Linked DNA regions of Coturnix japonica. Each later gene encodes a partner of the first gene's protein in a complex. Links are inferred from orthologs where the notes say so. Each region holds a gene or a part of one and is shown in the gene's direction. Other genes may lie near its edges.

Region 1 (8,862 bases):
GGAGAAAGAGGTATAACCATACTTCATATAGTTGAGTGGGGATTCTTCTTGCTGCTTCACAAATGACAAAGGAATGTCTAAAATCTGTGCCAAACGTATTTCCAAGAATGTACCTCTGCCCTTTACCTACCATTTGCATCTTCTTTTAAAGCTTTCCAAATGAAGTAGTAGACAACCCCTCCCCCCCCAACTAAAAACATGTGTGAGGATGTGGAAAGCTTTGAGATGTTTCCACACCCCGCTGACCTATTCATCAAAAACACATAACTCTTGGTATAGAGCAAAATTCAGAAGGCAAAACCCTGTCTGCATCAGCTGACTTCTTTCCCCCTTAGGCTACGGGCAACCCTGGTACAAATTCAGCTCAGCAGAGCTGCTCCAGCAGCAGTGTGCCCACAGAGCTCCCCAGTGCCCTGAGGTTGGAGGTGCTGAGCAACATCAGGATTGCAGGTACCCTCCTGACTGTCTTGGGAGCCTTCTCTTTGGTGCATACCTGCATCCCATGTGCAAAGTAAAAATCATGCACACAGTGACACGTTTTCACAGCCCCTCTCTCGGGTGGTGATTTGGCCTGGTATTATGTAAGATTTAACAAAAGATGGAGAAGACAACTATTTTAAGGAAGAATGTTAATTGAAGGCTGAGTCAGGCTGCAGCTAGTACAGAGATGTTTTTGAGAAGCTTGTACCCTTTTTCATTTGGTCTATTTTTTTTTCCTACCTAATTACAACGTGTGCAGAACTACATTTAACAATAATAGTAACTGGCAAAGGGCAGATGGATGATGAAGGTGGCTGTCCTCTTGCCCCTGGATCTGCAACTGAAGCCCATCCCAGGCTCTTGCAACTTGGCAGCTGCCACCATCCGATGGCTGCTCAGAGCTCATCCAGGCCCATTTGGGAGACTAAGTGAAATGCAAGCCCCAACCTCTGGAGAGCTGTTTAATGATAGTTATCCAGAGGAGGAGACCAAGGTTAATTGTCAATTCCAGAATGGGTGTACCAGTTATTAATTTTGCTACAGTCCTTTTTATCACCTATGAGTTTGGCTGTGCTTCCTGGTAGGCACCTCCTTCTGGAGCTCAGCAGGGTGTTGGCGCATTAGGGATGCAGGTGAATACAAGAGGGATGACTCTGATTTTTGCAGCTCTGCTAGTGATGTTTACAAGTGTATCACTGGTGCCTAAACTTGTCAGTATTTCTCCTTAGTGTCACTGCACGGCAGTACACTATGCATAGGACTGAATACCCAAGTTGATAAAAACACCCTATTTACCTGTTTTTACTTAGTCTAAGAGACAGCACTGAGCAAAAAGGTGAGGCTGGGGACTGAGCACAGAGCAGCACCTTTGTCCCCATGCTGGCTGCCCAAAGGGGGGATGGGGAAGGAGGCAGCGATGGCAGCCAGAAACTAATTTCACTGCACTTTATGTTTCCTCAGATTGGGGAGTGCTTTTGTTAGCTCCTGTTATGTCAGAAAATGTAAATAACATGACTGCATCGATGGGCAGAAGAACATGGTCACCCATTGAGCCGCAGTACGGTGAGCCCATGGGGTCACGGCCTTCTGGTCTTCCTGTTGGTGCTGGGCCAGGGTTGCCCAGCCATGCTAACACACCCCAGGCAGCTCCCAGCCGGTCTGTCCCCCTGTACCCCACAGACAATCGCCCATTGTGGCTTGTAGCAGAGGGCAGCCAACACGGTGTCGGTGGGAGCGTCCAACAGCTATTTACCAGGCTGAAGAGAGCAGGCGGAAGATTTTCCACATCAATTGCCCTTTCTTCTGGCATCTGGAATCGTCCCTCTGAAGTTTTTATTTCCCTTCTGAGTGTAGTAACCTCTGAATTTCTCAAGTATTTCCATCATCTTTTCCTTGCTGTCTTTTTTTTCCACTGCTACTTGAAACGAGGGTGTGAAGTCAAGTGCTCAGTTAAAAACAGAATCATTTCCTTCTTATTTTTTTTTTTTTAAACCACACCATTTTGGCTCCAAATTGCCCGGGGTAGAGCCCACCAAAGCAGCAGAAGCTGCAGCACTGATGCTTTTGCTCACACCACTACTCGTGGAATCAGAGAATCAGAGAATAGCCCAAGTTGGATCTTGCATGTATTCATGCACCCAAAACTTCTATGACAAAAATGAAATAACCACGTCCACCTCCCCTGTCTGTGCATGGACACACACACATGCTGACAACAGGCTGCTCCATCAGTGTCCCTCTGCCAGCAGCAGTAGTTGCATGTCACAAGGCAGCATTTCTGCAGTCAGCAGCACTGGGGAGCAGTGTTGGCGGTATGCTGTGCACCATGAGCATGGCTGCTTGTCCAGCAATTGTCCTGTAGGTAAAATTAGGAGTGGCTGCTGGTGTTTGTAGCATTGTCTATAAGTCTGTGTACGTCAACAGGCTGCTCCTGATGGCAGCATTGTGTACATCAGTACTTTCTTCCCATATTAAACACAAAATGGTTGGACAGACATATTTCTTTGGGACCAGTACTGATGTGAGAGCAGGACTCTACTGCACCTCTCCCTTCCTTCCCTGCACTGTGGCACTGGGTCAGGGCTCCCCATGGCATGGGGCTCCCCTGTGGCAGGGCCCCCCGGCTGGGCATGCCCGCAGGCCACAGGCTTCTGCAGAGCCCCTATATATATATATATATATATATATATATATAGCCTCGCCATGTCATCGCCGGGGTGTTCCACAGAAAGCAGGCACAAAAGGATGGTTTCTGTTTCAAAATAAATAAATAAATAAATATTAAGAAAGAAAAAAAAAGGAACGAGAAACAAACGCACGATCTGTTTTATTCTTGTGCAGCGACTGCATGACGGCAGCTCTGCAGATTTGTGTGTGTGTGTGTGTGATTTGATTCTTAAATCACATTTCCTACGCCGCTATTTTTTATCTGCTTTTTGACACCGAGAGCTGCAACGCTCTCTACCAGAGAGCTGCCTCTTCTACCAGAATAGATGCAAATGCAGCAGAACCCAAATGCTGCCCATAGTGGCTCTGACCAGCCTGATTCGATCAGAAACCAAGTTAAATAAATAGGGGTCACACTCCCCGTCCTGCACTCACTGAAAGCTGTGCTTTCTCCCTCCCTGCAGCCGGGCTCTCTCCGAGCTGTGCTCCCCATGCGCAGTGTGCAAACACACAGCTCCTTGGCTTCCCACCAGTGTATATAAATATATGCAGTTATTTTTTTATTTTTTTTTTTCCTTCGCAAAACCTGGAGGCTAAAGCGAGAGGGCAAAGGAGTACGTGACTAAAACATCCAAACTTCCTCTTTCATAAGCCATCACATGATGCAGTGCAATTACAATTCCTGCCTTGTCCCTGCCAATTGCAGGCGCATTGCCTCACCCGACAAACCCGGCTGTGCATGTGTGTGTGTGTATATGTGTGTGTGTATGAGTGTGGAGGCAGCAATCGCTGCAACCGCCTTGGCACGCCTCCATCTCCGGGCTGGAGAAAGAGGGCAGTGGGTGGAAGACGAAAACAAGATGTGTTTACTTAGCATGCAGGGATAAAGCGACTTTCCAGCCGGGAGGGGGTGCACGGAACAGCCTTACAGCGCTTTGATGCTACGAGAAAGGAGGGCCGCGCTGCGGAGCCGCGTTAACCCCCGCCTGGCCGTGGGGCACGATCCGCTCGGGGCTCTCCCGGTGCCTGAATCGCATCCCAGGTCCGCAGCCCCGGGAGCGCCGCAGGCACCGCCCCGCCGAGCCCCGCAAACGTCACAGCTCCCCCGGGTGTCCCCGCTGCCTGCTCGCCCCCCCTTCCCTCCCCCGTAACCTACATAACGCGGCGGGGAGGGCCGTGCCCGCCTGCGGGACGTGGCGAGGGGGACGTTGCCCCTCGCGGTGCCGCTGTGCGGGGACGGAGCGGAACGCCCGTGCCGTGCTTGAGCTGCGCGGGTTGTGCTCGTCCGCCTTAGAGAGCGGAGGGTTTGTGGTTGCAAACGACAGGAAATCTCGAGCGTCCTATTTCCTGCGTGCAGTGACAACAGTTAGAAAAAAAAAAATAAAGAAAAAAATAACAATACGGGCGATGGTTTTATTTACCCACGACGCCCCTCCCGCCCGGGCCCAGTAGGGGACGGGGGCAGCCCCAGGGTCACCGGGGGGGGGTCGGGGGCGACCGAGCTCAGCGACCCCGCGGCGCTCAGCCCGCACCGCACGCGGTGACCCCGCCGGTGCCGAGCGGGAGGCTCGGGGCCGCGCTCAGCCCGCTCCGCTCCGCGTGGCCGGCGCTGGGCTCCCCCGGCGGCGGGCGGAACCCCCGGGGCCGGGCCGGGGGCGCGGGCAGAGCCGGGGCCGGGAGCGCGGCGGCGGCGTGGTTGGCGTTGTTGGGGCGGGGGCGCCCATCGCGCAGGCGCGGCGGCACTGTCGAAGAATCGAGGCGGCGGCGCGCAGAGGCGGCGGTGGCGGCTGGAACGCGGCACGGCCCCGGCCCCGGCCCCGGCCCCGGCCCCGGCCCCGGCCCCGGCCCCAGCCCCGGCCCCGCCCCGCCGCGCCGCCCCGTAGTAGCCAGCGAGCGGGGGAGCCGTGCGGGCGGCAGCGGCCGCAGCCCTGCGCCAGGCGCGCCGCGAAGATGCGCGTCCCCGCCGCGCTGTGAGCGCCGCCGGCGGAGACGGACGAGGGAGCGGCGGCCCCCGGAGCGGCTCCGCTCGCCGGGGCGCGGAAGAGGAAGGCGAGGGGGAGGGGGCCGCGCCGACGGTCCCGCGGCGCCCGAGCCGCCCCGTCGGCCGTCCGGTGGCGAGGGGCGGAGGAGGAGGAGGCGGCGGCCGGAGCCGGAGCGGGGGGCGCTCGCCGCCGCCCCGGGGCCGGGACATGTCGTCGGCGGCGGTGGCGGCTGCTTCCCGCAGGCAGTCGTGCTACCTGTGCGACCTGCCCCGCATGCCCTGGGCCATGATCTGGGACTTCACCGAGCCCGTGTGCCGGGGCTGCGTCAACTACGAGGGCGCCGACCGCGTGGAGTTCGTCATCGACACGGCGCGGCAGCTGAAGCGGGCGCACGGCTGCTTCGCCGAGGGCCGGGCCCCGCCGCCGCCGCACGCCAAGCAGCCGCCGCTCTCCGCCAAGGAGCTCCTGGCGCAGCAGCAGCAGCTCGGCCACCCCGCGGCGGCGGCGGCGGCGGCAGCGCCCCCGCCGCAGCCCCAGGAGCGCCACCCGCTGGCCGCCGAGCGGCCGCCGCCTCGCCTGGGCGCCGAGTACGGCGGCGGACGGCAAGTGAACGGCATCCTGGTGCCCAACGGCTTCCCCAAGCCCGAGGAGCCGCCCGAGCTCAACCGGCAGAGCCCCAACCCGCGCCGGACGCACGCCGTGCCGCCCACTCTGGTGCCGCTGGTGAACGGCGCCGGGCTCCCCGCCGCCATCGGAGGCCTGGGCGGCCGAGCCGCCGCCGCCGCCGCCTCGCTGGCCGCCATCTCGGCCGCGCCCGCCCCGCTGGCCGTGCCCGTGCCCCAGCAGCCGGCGGCGGCGGCGCAGGCGGCGGCGGGGCAGCCCGGAGAGCTGGGCCACAAGCGGCCCGGCTCCGTCTCGTCCTCGTCGTCGGGCGGCGGCGGCGCGGCGGGGGAACACGACGGAGGGAGCAAGGAGAAGCGCGGATCGGCGGAGAGCGTGCCGGCCACGGCAGAGATGGGCAACGACGGCAAGAGCCGGGCGGGCGGCGAGGAGTGGCTGGCCAAGCCCAAGACGGTGCGGGACACGCTGCTGGCCCTGCACCAGCACGGCGGGCACGCGGTGCCGCCCTTCGACAGCAAGTTCAAGAAGGAGCCGGGCATGGCGGGCGGCAGGATGCTGGGATACGAGAGCAACGGGGCCGCGGCCAAGCCGGGTGAGGAGCGGGACCGGGGCGGGAGGAGGGGGGCGAGTGCGGGGCCGGGGCGGACGGGGCCGCGTGTGTGCGCGTGTTACGGTGATCTGGCACGTTTCGGTGGCGGTGCTTGGCCGCCTTGTCGCCCCTCTGACTCTCTCCCTCCCTTTCCAGGGGCCCGCGCAGCCCGGAAGAGGAAGCCGTCCCCCGAGCCGGAGGGCGAGGCGGGACCCCCGAAGATCAACGGGGAGGCGCAGCCCTGGCTGCCGGCCGCGTCCGAAGGGATGAAGATGCCGCTGACGGCCACGTCCTTCATGTCGCCCCCGCCGCCCACCGCCTCGCCCCACTCCAACCGGACCACGCCGCCCGAGGCGGCCCAGAACGGCCAGTCCCCCATGGCCGCGCTCATTTTGGTGGCGGACAATGCCGGGGGCAACCACGCCTCCAAGGAGGCCAACCAGGTCCACTCCACCACCAGGAGGAACAGCAGCAGCCCCCCCTCGCCCTCCGCCATGAACCAAAGAAGGCTGGGTGCCGGCAGGGAGGTGCCGGGCCAGGGGGGCAGCGCGGCGGGCGGGCTGGAGCCCGTGCACCCCGCCAGCCTGCCGGACTCGTCCCTCGCCGCCAGCGTCCCCTTGTGCTGTACCCTGTGCCACGAGCGCCTGGAAGACACCCACTTCGTGCAGTGCCCTTCCGTCCCGTCCCACAAGTTCTGCTTCCCTTGCTCCCGGCAGAGCATCAAGCAGCAGGGGGCCAGCGGAGAGGTGTACTGCCCCAGCGGGGAGAAGTGCCCCCTGGTCGGCTCCAACGTGCCCTGGGCCTTCATGCAGGGGGAGATCGCCACCATCCTGGCCGGGGATGTGAAAGTGAAAAAGGAGAGAGACTCGTGACTGTGCTGGCCCAGCGCCGCCCGTCGCCCAAACTGCTCCGGTTCTGTATATATCTATAAATATATATATATAAATATATATATATCTCCAAGACAAGGGAAATGTAGACTTCATAAACATGGCTGTATAATTTTGATTTTTTTGAATACATTGTGTTTCTATATTTTTTGAAGACAAAAGGTATGTACTTATTATAAAGGCATTTCTTCTAATTCTCTTTTTTTTTTTCCTCCCGTCCTTCCCCCCCATCCCCACTCCCCTCCCCCCGCTTTCCCCCCTCCCCTTTTGTTATAGCAACTATTTGTTGTGCTTCCCTGGTGACAATTACTGTTCGATGTAGGCTGTGACTTGCGCTGCTTTTTTTAGAGCACTTGGCAAACGAGAAATGCTTCTAGCTGTATTTGTATGCACTTGTTTCCTTTTCCTTTTTTTTTTTCTTTTTTTTTTTTTCTCTCTCTTTTTTTTTTTTTTAATGCCAAATACACTTTCTGACATTGTAAAGATCGCCTTACTGTCTGTGATTTCCTTATTGCTGCCCCCTGCTTCTGTAGGGCTGGGGGCAGGCGGGCGCATGGAGCACTAAGGGCTCCTCCCGGGAGCGGCTGTCCGCCTCGTGTGGCCGTGCCGGACCCAGGCCAAAATTCCTCCGTGTTTCTCAAGGGAAGTTGCCTTTGGAGTAGGATGTGGAGAGGTGTTGGAGAGGCGCTGTTGAGTTATAGGGATTTCTGGGTTGGTTTGTTTCTGTTGGGGTTTTTTTTTTTCTTCTTGTTTTTTTTTTTTTTTTTTTTTAAGGCAAAGTTGACCGCAGTTCACGTGATCAGTTGTAAGATTACAGAACTACGCCTGTTGACCAATTGCGTACTCTAACGTGGAACTGTGATAGCCAACCTTATGACATGATTGGTGACTGCACCGCTGTAGCACTGCCGTCTCTGAAGGCCTTCAGCATTGGGGTTTTTTTTGGTCTTTGGACAGTGCTGGGGAGGTGGGAGAAAGGCTGTTTTGTTTTGTTTTTCCTTTCTAATTTTACTTTAATTTTCAGATAGTGCAGGTGGACTTTTGAATTTGCTTATCAGTCACCTCCGGTACTGTTGCTTTTGTTACTATCGCTGACACGGTGTTTCCAAGTAGTGGCAGGTACAGCGTGGTACAATGACAGCAGCAACTGAGGCTCTGCCAGATTGCCTGCAGGCATATCAGCGACAGCCCAAAAAGTGGGTGGAGGAAACCTGCAATTTCCTTATTACGTGTGCTTGAAACAAACCTACTGCTATTCTTTGAAAATGAAAACATAAACTGGTTGAAATGAAAGCAATTAGGGCTTCACATAATTGCCATGGCCCTGACTTTTAAGCTACTTTGGAGAACTCTTTTGTAAAGCCACTTCTTTTGATCACGCTTCTGCATCACCAAGCAGACTTCTAAAATCAATAAATCATTGGTTACTAGAAATAGTTGAGTCTTATAGTGATGTTTTTGTGCTGTTTATAGTTCGTTGGCAACGCTGCAGCTGGATGAGCCCTTCTGTTGAGGTGTTTATAACTGGGTTATAAGAGGTTGTTTCTGAGCGAAGGGGTGGCGAGGTCGTCCCAGCCCTGGGATGGGCTAATGAGCACTTGGTGCCCAAGGAAGAGGAGAAATCTGTTCAGCTGACGTAAATTTGAACAATTTTGGGTGCTTTTGAGTCAACTGTTCTTATTGTGATAATGTTCAGACTGCAGTTTAATGCAGAGTAGCTCTTTTCTGGAAGACTTTTTTTTTCTCTCTCTCTAAAGAAATGGTCATTATTAGTATTTGAAGATCAGAACTGCACACGCACAGTAATTTTTTTTTTTTTTTTATGAAGTGTTTAATGAGCACACCCACTACATTGTGTTCCATATTACAGGTCAATGTAATATTAGATAAGACTTGCATGATAAACAGATTCATTGACTCGATATTACGCTTTAAATCTTATACCTATAGTCAAGATTGGTGTCCTATGTAAACACATTTAGCCAATTTGAAGAAAACGCACATTATATATATATACCTATATATATTCCTATATATATAAAAACTGTAAAGGATTCTTTGGAACCACTATGATCTGTGTAAATGTGTATTTAGGCACTTTATTAAAAAAAGAAAAATGGATTTTGAGCTGATA
Region 2 (8,291 bases), on another chromosome or scaffold:
GGAAACTTAATAAATCACATAGTTTTCCTGTAGAAGTCCCACTGAAAGCAGGTGGTGGAAGTGGAAGAAAGTGCTGAGACTGTATTAAAGACTCCAGTTCATTCAAATACCAAGCTTGTCCTTGGAGCATGCTCTTAGATTCAACAGAGTTGATGTATTTTGAGTAATCATTTCTTTTCTTCTAACTCCCAGTTGTAGGACAGCCGCACCTTGATGGCAGCAGTGAGGAGCAGGTGATAGTTGCCAATCCTCCAGATGTTTGCCAGGTGGTAGAGGTGACAACAGAAAGTGATGAGCAGCCTCTCAGCATGAGCCAGCTGTACCCCCTACAGATCTCCCCTGTCTCGTCCTATGCAGGTAAGCATGCCCATGTTTCTTTAAGTTGCTTTTAAGAAATGTTTGAAAGACACTGAACTTTCTAAGGAGTGCCAGGCCCAGAGGCAGGGGTCTCTTGGGAAGGCTCTTTAAGGGCAGCTGGTACAGATATGGATTCAGTAATGTCTGTTCTGCTGACTTCTGTATTTTTAACTCAAAAACTCAGGGTCCTGTATAGTAATTTTACATTGGAAAGCAGCTCAACAGAGCTGAGGGTGGAAATACAAGCTGCAGTTTTTAGCCTGTGACTAAAGGAAAAAGAGCGGTTTTAGATGCAATGTAGAGAGGCCTTTTCATCTTTTATTAGAGGGACATTTTCAGTGGTACAAGTGATACGCTGCAAATATATTCTGCCTCCCCGACAGCCTGATCTTTTAAAGATAAGAGGTCATAATCTCTGCTGTATGTTTCCATGGTGCTTGGCATAGTGGGTACAGAGTGCTAAAGGCTGCATTAATGATATGTAATGCAAATGTGAATCTGAAGGCCCTGGGGGGCTGGATCTGTCTTGTTACAAATAGTCTGCAGACCAGAACATCTATGTCATGACTGATAAGAAGGGGTCTGTGGAAGTCTGGCTTCCAGTGTCTGTCTCCCATCTGGATTCTCTGATATCTAAAAAAAGGGTGAGATAACAAGCTTTCCCTTGAGTCAGGGTGCTAATGGTTTCTTGTTGTTATCTGGCCCATTATTTTCATAGAACTGGTAGGAAGTTAAGAGTCTTGGCCCTTATTTATCCCTTATCCAAGGCTGACAAGCTGTTCAGAAGCTGTTAGGGGAGAACAAACACAAATGTACACATAGGCATACCATAGAGTTCCTGCAATCATACAAGCCTTATTTCTATAGAAAGCAGGGCAAAACTGTGTTTAAAAGTAGGAAAAGTTTCATATTCAACCTGTCCTTCCTTTTTTAATGTGTTGCTAACTTGCAAGCTTCAGGAGATGGAGGCAAAAACAGAAATGTCATCTTCTTAGGCAAACTCGAGTATTGTTCCCACTGCAATTTATTATTTTATACACAGTTTTGCCTTTGACTCATTATGCTGAATTACTTCCAGATGCATTTTTATAAAATATGTATGTAGGAATTTTTATCTTTGGGTCTGGGTGAATATTATGATGTTCTGTTGAATAGCCTCCAATGTTAGTCTCAAACGTTGATACACGGTCATGCTTCCCCGTGTGTTTAGTCTGTAATGGTCAGAGCATTTAAAAGGGCTTTGCAAAGCATAAGGAGGGGTGCTTTAATTTACTAGCGGTGGGAGACAGGGCCTTTGAAACATTTGTCCTTGTTCCAAATGCTTCTTGCAAAACTGTTCCTGGCTGTGTAAAAGCAACAATGATGCTTTTTTTTGACCTCGGCTAAAGGGTCTAAGCTCTTGGAATGCAGACAGAAGTCACCATCTAGGTCTGAAAGTCACTGTAATTGCTTGGGCTGTGACAACAGAGAGGGATGATCTGGTGACAGGAGAATCGCCCTGACATGAGCAAGTCCTGAGTTACCTCTTCAAAAGTCAATGCGAGAAATCTACATAAATAGAATAACTGAAAAAAGACATAAAAAGAATGACTGAAGAACTTCTGCTATCCCCTTACACTGTCTTAGTATCCTTGTGGATTTCAGCTTTCCTAACTTGTATCAGGGCCTACTAAACCATTACTAAGATAGCACAGAAGATGATTTCATGCCACCAACATGTCTTTGAACGCATCCTGAGACAGGATGAAGATCCTGGTTACCCTAGCTGGGGAGCCAGTCAGATGTGGTGTGCTGCTAGAATCTGTGCTGGGACAAGTCCATTTTAATATCTTCATCAGTGAGCAGAAAAAGTGGTGGAATGCACAGGGTGTGTTCGGTCTGGTGAAGAGATGGTTTTGGTAACCTCGTAGCAGGCTGTCCACATCTACAGCAGTGTTATTGAGAAGGTTGAGCAAGGCTATTTCATGGTGGTGCACAGTGAGAAGTAAAAGGCAGAAATTGAAGCAATAGAACTTGGTCCAACTGAATATAAGAAAATATGTCGCTTTTTTCACCACAGGATTTTTCAGAACCCTGACATTTGTAGGTTATTCTCGTGGTGTTTATAGTTTTATCTTGTTATACACAAAACCATATAGATATGGAGTCCTAAACCTGCCCTTGTGACTCTTCTGAGTACAGTTGCCTACTCTGTCAGGTGCTACCACTAAGTGGCAGGAAAGAGGATGACCATAACAGCTGCACAGGAGCACTTAGTTTAGCTCTTCTGAAATAACAACAAAAAAAGTAGCCGTAGGTATCAGCTGTCCTACATAAATCTGCTTTATTTCAAAAACACCTCTAGTTCCTTTCTGAGGTTACACAGGCAAATGATATTTCTGGCCTTTATGAGTTTCCTCATATTTCCATTGACGTCTATGAAATCCATTTTTTTTAGTACCAAGGCTGTTCTTGTCAACCTCATCTTGTTTGACGCTGATTCAAATAACCTCCTTGATTCAAATGACCTCTCTCACTTTCCATACTGCAGTGGCTAGCTTCCATGGCTTTTCCTAACTATAGTGCTCTCTCTTGCTCAGCATTTTGTTATGTATAAACATCAAGGATGGATTCCTTTTCATCTACATCACTATTTTCTGTTGCCACATGCTTCCTCATGTCAAGGAATATCTTTCCTGTCTCTTGTGTGGATTCCTCCTATTGACTGTCTCTGGGGCCATTTCTCCTTTTGTACGGATTACTTTCTGCCTCTCCTTCCCCTTTCCCTTCCTCCTAGTCCAGCTTAATTAGCCAACTTTATCACGTTGTCACATCTCTCTATACCTTCGCCAGTGAATGAGGAGCCCTGCAGAGTGTTAACTTCATAGCACTTCACAGTTAGATCCTCTGCCTTGCTGCGTGTTGTGACTGGGTCTCTGGAGTAGGCAAGGTGCCAGCTATGGAAGTTAACGTGTTTAGCAGCTGAGCTGCCTGCTTACTTATTTCAGCAGGACTTTGAGTGCAGTTTAGATCCTTGGGTCTGAAAGAACAACTGAGCCCATGAGTTTGTGGCCCTTTGCCTAAACCTGGTCCTTAGCTGAGCCTATGGGGAAGAGCAGGGAGTTGCCAGTCTTTCTGGAGACCTGTGTGGAGGTCATCTGGTCCTGCCACTTGCTCAAGTAGGGCCACCTAGAGCGCTCGAAAATACAGTGGGGCTCAGGCTCTTCTGCAAGCAAAGGCTGAGGCTGCAGGAGGGTGGCCATCCTCGTGGAGCTGCTGCCCTGTCCCCCAATGCAGAAGGGTGGCAGTGTGTCTCTGTTCTCTGTTTGGAGGTAGGAGGTGCTGGGGCTGCCCTGCTGTGGTGCAGGAGGTAATTGCATTTGTCTGTGCTGGAGTGGTGGGCAGAGGGATGAGATATAGAGCAGGGGGCAGGGCAAAACTGACATAAGAGCAAAGTGTAACAGCAGTAATAAAGTGCAAGAACTGATAACAAAGTCTTGAAGTGGCAAACTGAGATAACAGTTCATGAAACATACCACACTTATCTCCTCTAGGGTGGTGTTGTTGATGGTTTTGCAGGGACATAAAAATAAGGATTTGCAGAGGACTTTGCTCATAACTGGCCTCGAGCCACCAAGAGCAGGAAAAGGGAAGAGGGGGCATTCCCCACTGGCAGTAGTTTCTCTCTGCCCAGAAGTATGAGCAATAACACTGACCTGCTTCTTCCACCTCTGCTGCAGTCTATTCCAGAGTGTATCCAGATTAACCATGATAACCACATGAATTTACTCCATAGTTCCATGGTACTGTGTTGTCTGACCTTTAGATTACTTTACAGGGGATACATAGTTTACTATTCTTTTCTGATTGTTTGGCTTGACTATGTTTGCTTGTGCTTGCTTGAAGTGAATCATGCCTCTTGAGCTGGATTTTGCTACTGTAGATAACATTACTTGGGTTTCATTTTTGCCTCTGTTTTACTTGACAGAAAGTGAAACGACCGACAGCGTTCCAAGCGATGAAGAAAATGCAGAGGTAAGTGTTTTCTGCATTTTTGAATGCTTTGGAGCAAAATCTCCAAGTAGTGTCCTGTGGTATTCTTTCCACTTCTACATTTGCAACTGTCTGCTAGTGGAGCGTTCCTGTTTAATAGCTGAGGGAGAAAGAAAAAGTAGGAAGCTTCTGGGGAGACAAATGCTGGGATGATTTTCAAGCAGAACAGATATCTCTGCAAGTTCATTCCTCCTCATCTGTCGAAGCTACAAGGAGGTTGATTTTCATGAGATTATACTCTGTAGAGCCATCAGCAGTGCCAGCTAGTTTGTTAATATGGAGCAAACTATCGAACCTTGTCATGCATGTGTGTGCTTGTGTACGCTGCATTGACGTTGCAGCGTACACAAGCACACACATGCATGACAAGCACACAAGCACACACATGCACACACATGCACACACATGCATGACAAGCGTACACAAGCACACACATGGGTAGTGAGTATTTTATCTCAGCTGAAAACATCCTCGCTTTGTTCTCCTTAAATGGCATGTGAACTCGTACAATTGGAGGAAATGCTTACACGTGTGATAGAAATACAACTTGAATGTTTGAGGTGTGTGAGGCCAAAAGCTTTCCTGAGCGGGCAAGACTGAGTTAGCACACAGCAAGAGCTACCTTCTGTCTGCATGGTTATAATAGTGTTTATTCCTCTGCCTTGGACCAGAGGAATGTTCCTACTCCCATGAGCAGGTGGAAAATAAGGTATCTGTGAGAGTTCATGGCACAAGGAAGAGAGAAAAGTGTAGAAATGCCCCAACTACTGCACCAATGGTGGCTGAGGTGGGGGCTCCCCATCTCCCCATACCTAGTGAAAACCCTCCTTTGACAGGATGTGCCACTGCAGTATGTGTGATGGGGAAAGGACAGGATGCTTAATCCCTGTGATGAGTGGACATGCTACCAAGGGATTTTCCTGGCAGCTTTACCTCTGATGGCAGAGCTTTTGAGTCTCTGTGCCAGCTCTCCCCAGTAATGGAGGAGACTTCAGTTTGAAGCTCTTGAGGTTTAGGTCACCTATGTCGAATTTTGTCAATGGCATATTGTGTATAAGGTCTTTATTTTCCATCAGAGGAATAGGCAGCGTGTTTTGAGTGCTGGAGAGCCACCAGGGTTAGGATACAGGACTTATAAAGGGAGAACTGACAAAGAGCAAAGACATTCAAAGCCAGCTGCTGGTGACTCAGGCTTTTAGAGATGGGGCAACTCCTTTGCAGTTTGTGGATATTTCTGTCTTCATCTTACTGCTGGCAGTTTGCAAAGCGCATTCACTCACGCAGTCTTTCTTCGTTCTTCTTCCCCCTTCATAGGGACGACTTCATTGGCAGAAGAAAAACATTGAAGGCAAACAGTATCTCAGCAATCTGGGAATGCGGAACACTTCTCATATGCTTCCCAGCATGGCTACTTTTGTAGCCAACAAGCCTGACCTCCAGGTCACCATCAAAGAAGAAAGCTGCCCGCTGCCTTACAACAGCTCCTGGCCCCCTTTCCCAGACATCCCTCTGCCACAAGTAGTGTCCACAGCCTCCACGAGCAGCAGCCGGCCAGACCGCGAGACACGGGCTAGCGTCATCAAGAAGACGTCAGACATCACCCAGTCAAGAGTCAAGAGCTGCTAAGCCTTTGACAGTGTGTTTTTTAGCTTTGTTTTGTTTGGTTTTGTATTTTACGTTTCTCTAGGAGAGGTTCAACCCTTGACGCACATTAGACAAATCTAAGGTAAAGAAAGCCTTGGCAATATAAAACATTGCTGTGTCTGACTCCAGTGCCGGAGTGTTTTTAACTCAGGACTCCAGCCGTCAGTGTGTACATCTGAACCCAGGTGGACTTGCAAGGTTGCTACGTAGGAAAATAAAACAAGAACTTTGGCCCACTTGCAGGTTTCAGTGTTTCATAAGAGGACCAACTGACCACAAGGGAAGTGGTGCTGCTGCGCTTCTTGCTGTCAAGGCTGTGATGGAACTGAAAGCCTCAGAATGGAAGAGAAAATGTGAACTAGCTGGAATATTTTTAAATAAAAAAAAAAAAATTCTATTGTGAATATTGTACATAGTGCAGTACTAGCAACGTTGCAGTCTGCTTCTGCACCTTATTAAGAAAGCACTTACAAAAGGCCTTTTATTACCTTGCTCTACTTAATGGCACATTGAAGGTCCCTCCCCACCTGTATTCTTTTCCAAGGCTATTCTTGCTAACGTGTCTTTAAAGAATAGTGGAAAGGAAAGAAAGTTAAAACTTCCCATGTGGATTTCATACATTTTAAGACTGCTTTTCTCGTGTTTGTTTTCTAATCTGCTATGCTTGAATGCCGCGTGGTACAATAGGGAAAAAAGAAACTATTACAGAGATGTTATGCAAATTCCCAGATTTAAGAAAAAAAAGAAGAATACTCTAATTCTAACCAGAGCAAGCTTTTTTATTTTTTATACAGGGGAATATTTTATTCAAAATAAAATTCTAAAGTGAATATAATTTTTTTTAATCTTTTCTACAGCAAATTTATAATTTTAAGATTCAATCCTTGGTTATCAGCAGTTATTACATCCTTGTGGCACATTTGTTTTTGTTTTTTTTTAATTTTGTAAAGGTGAAATAGCTTTTATGAGCTCATGTAGCAATCAGATTATCCTGTGGATTGATAATAAATATGGTATATAGTTAAATTTTTAATAACCCTCTTGTTTGTCTCTCTTTTCTAATCTTTCAGAAGCCGCAGATGGTGTGGGTGTTTGATAGGTGGATATGAAGGCTCAGAGCGAACTATTAGCATGAGCCACCTTTACAGTTTCTGTAGCGCTCATCTGACAGAGTGGGAAGTGCTCTGCTCAAGACATCTTGAGGTGCAAAGAGGAACTAGTGCTTAATGGCAACCAGCTCAAGTTTGGCCTCACGTGCACAGGTTGGGAACTGCAGAACCTCTCCTGATGCTATTCCATGGTTTAGCTTTGAGGAAAGCATCTCATTGAAGGGAACTTCAGGGTGTTCATCTGCGGCCTCGTGTGGGCACAGCTGAGCTCGCCCCATTCCTGGTAGATAACTGTTTAGTTTGCTCTCAGTTTACTTGTTTCAGTAGCAGTTTCTTATTAGTAGAATGAATCAGAAGTCAAGTGAATACTCGAAGCAGACATTCTCCATCTGTTGCATGATGGCAAATTCTGATTTCTCTGGTTTGGGTGAATGGCTTGGGTTGGAAGGAAGTTCAAAGACCATCTAGTTCCAAGTCCCCCTGCTGCTGACAGGGTTGCCAACTGCTAGATCGAATCCCAGATCTGGCTACCCAGGGCCCATCCAAACTGGCCTTAAAGGCTTCCAGGGGCAGGACATTCACAGCCTTTTTGGGCAGTCTGTGCCAGCACATTACCACCGCATCTGTGAAAAACTTTCCATTGACATCTAATCTAAATCTCCCCTCAATCTGTATCTAATGAGAGGGTGTGTAGCAGCTTGCAGAATTGCATGGCGGTAGTAGACAAACCATGCCATTGATCCTGTGAACACAAGGTGATAGCCCAAAGTGTGATGTGTAGCTTCAAGTGTGGTTGTCTCAACTGCTGAGTACATATGGAGCGTTGTGTATATTTGTCTGATGAGGTAATAGGCACAAAATTGGCTGTATCAAAGGAAGATGTACGAACTGGCTATTTAATAGGCTCAGGTTCTGGCCAGTAGAATGTTCCTGTGTTCTTAATCTGATGCTGCAATTTCAAATTTCATCACAAGTCTGCATGAAACTTGCAATTTTATCTTACCAAACCAGTGACCTGGGAAGAGAGGGCTAAAGAGGGCTTGAGTTCTCCTCTGGGGAAGGTATCCTGTGGGAAAGGAAGGGCTGCAGTGCCTGGGCTGAGACTGAGTCTGCAGCAGGGCTTAGGGAAAGAAGCATCCCAGTTGCACA

The links. The genes of interacting proteins can lie anywhere in the genome.
Region 2: the proteins of IRF2BP2 (region 1) and IRF2 are in contact, whole or in part, in a crystal structure (PDB 8YTG), measured with the Homo sapiens proteins. The link is inferred for Coturnix japonica from reciprocal best matches to the Homo sapiens genes IRF2BP2 and IRF2. Residues at the interface, in NP_892017.2 of Homo sapiens: His517, Phe518, Val519, Gln520, Pro522, Phe531, Leu557, Trp564, Ala565, Phe566, Met567, Glu570, Thr573, Ile574; in NP_002190.2 of Homo sapiens: Arg331, Ala332, Ser333, Val334, Ile335, Lys336.

The regions. Positions count from the first base shown.
Region 1 is NC_029518.1:34,496,296-34,505,157, forward strand, and holds the start of IRF2BP2 (interferon regulatory factor 2-binding protein 2), read left to right. Parts: upstream 1-4,524; 5' UTR 4,525-4,835; coding exon 4,836-5,841; intron 5,842-5,994; coding exon 5,995-6,710; 3' UTR 6,711-8,862. UniProt on the Homo sapiens protein: Acts as a transcriptional corepressor in a IRF2-dependent manner; this repression is not mediated by histone deacetylase activities. Represses the NFAT1-dependent transactivation of NFAT-responsive promoters.
Region 2 is NC_029519.1:35,012,626-35,020,916, forward strand, and holds the end of IRF2 (interferon regulatory factor 2), read left to right. Parts: intron 1-192; coding exon 193-357; intron 358-4,324; coding exon 4,325-4,371; intron 4,372-5,703; coding exon 5,704-6,015; 3' UTR 6,016-7,069; downstream 7,070-8,291. UniProt on the Homo sapiens protein: Specifically binds to the upstream regulatory region of type I IFN and IFN-inducible MHC class I genes (the interferon consensus sequence (ICS)) and represses those genes. Also acts as an activator for several genes including H4 and IL7.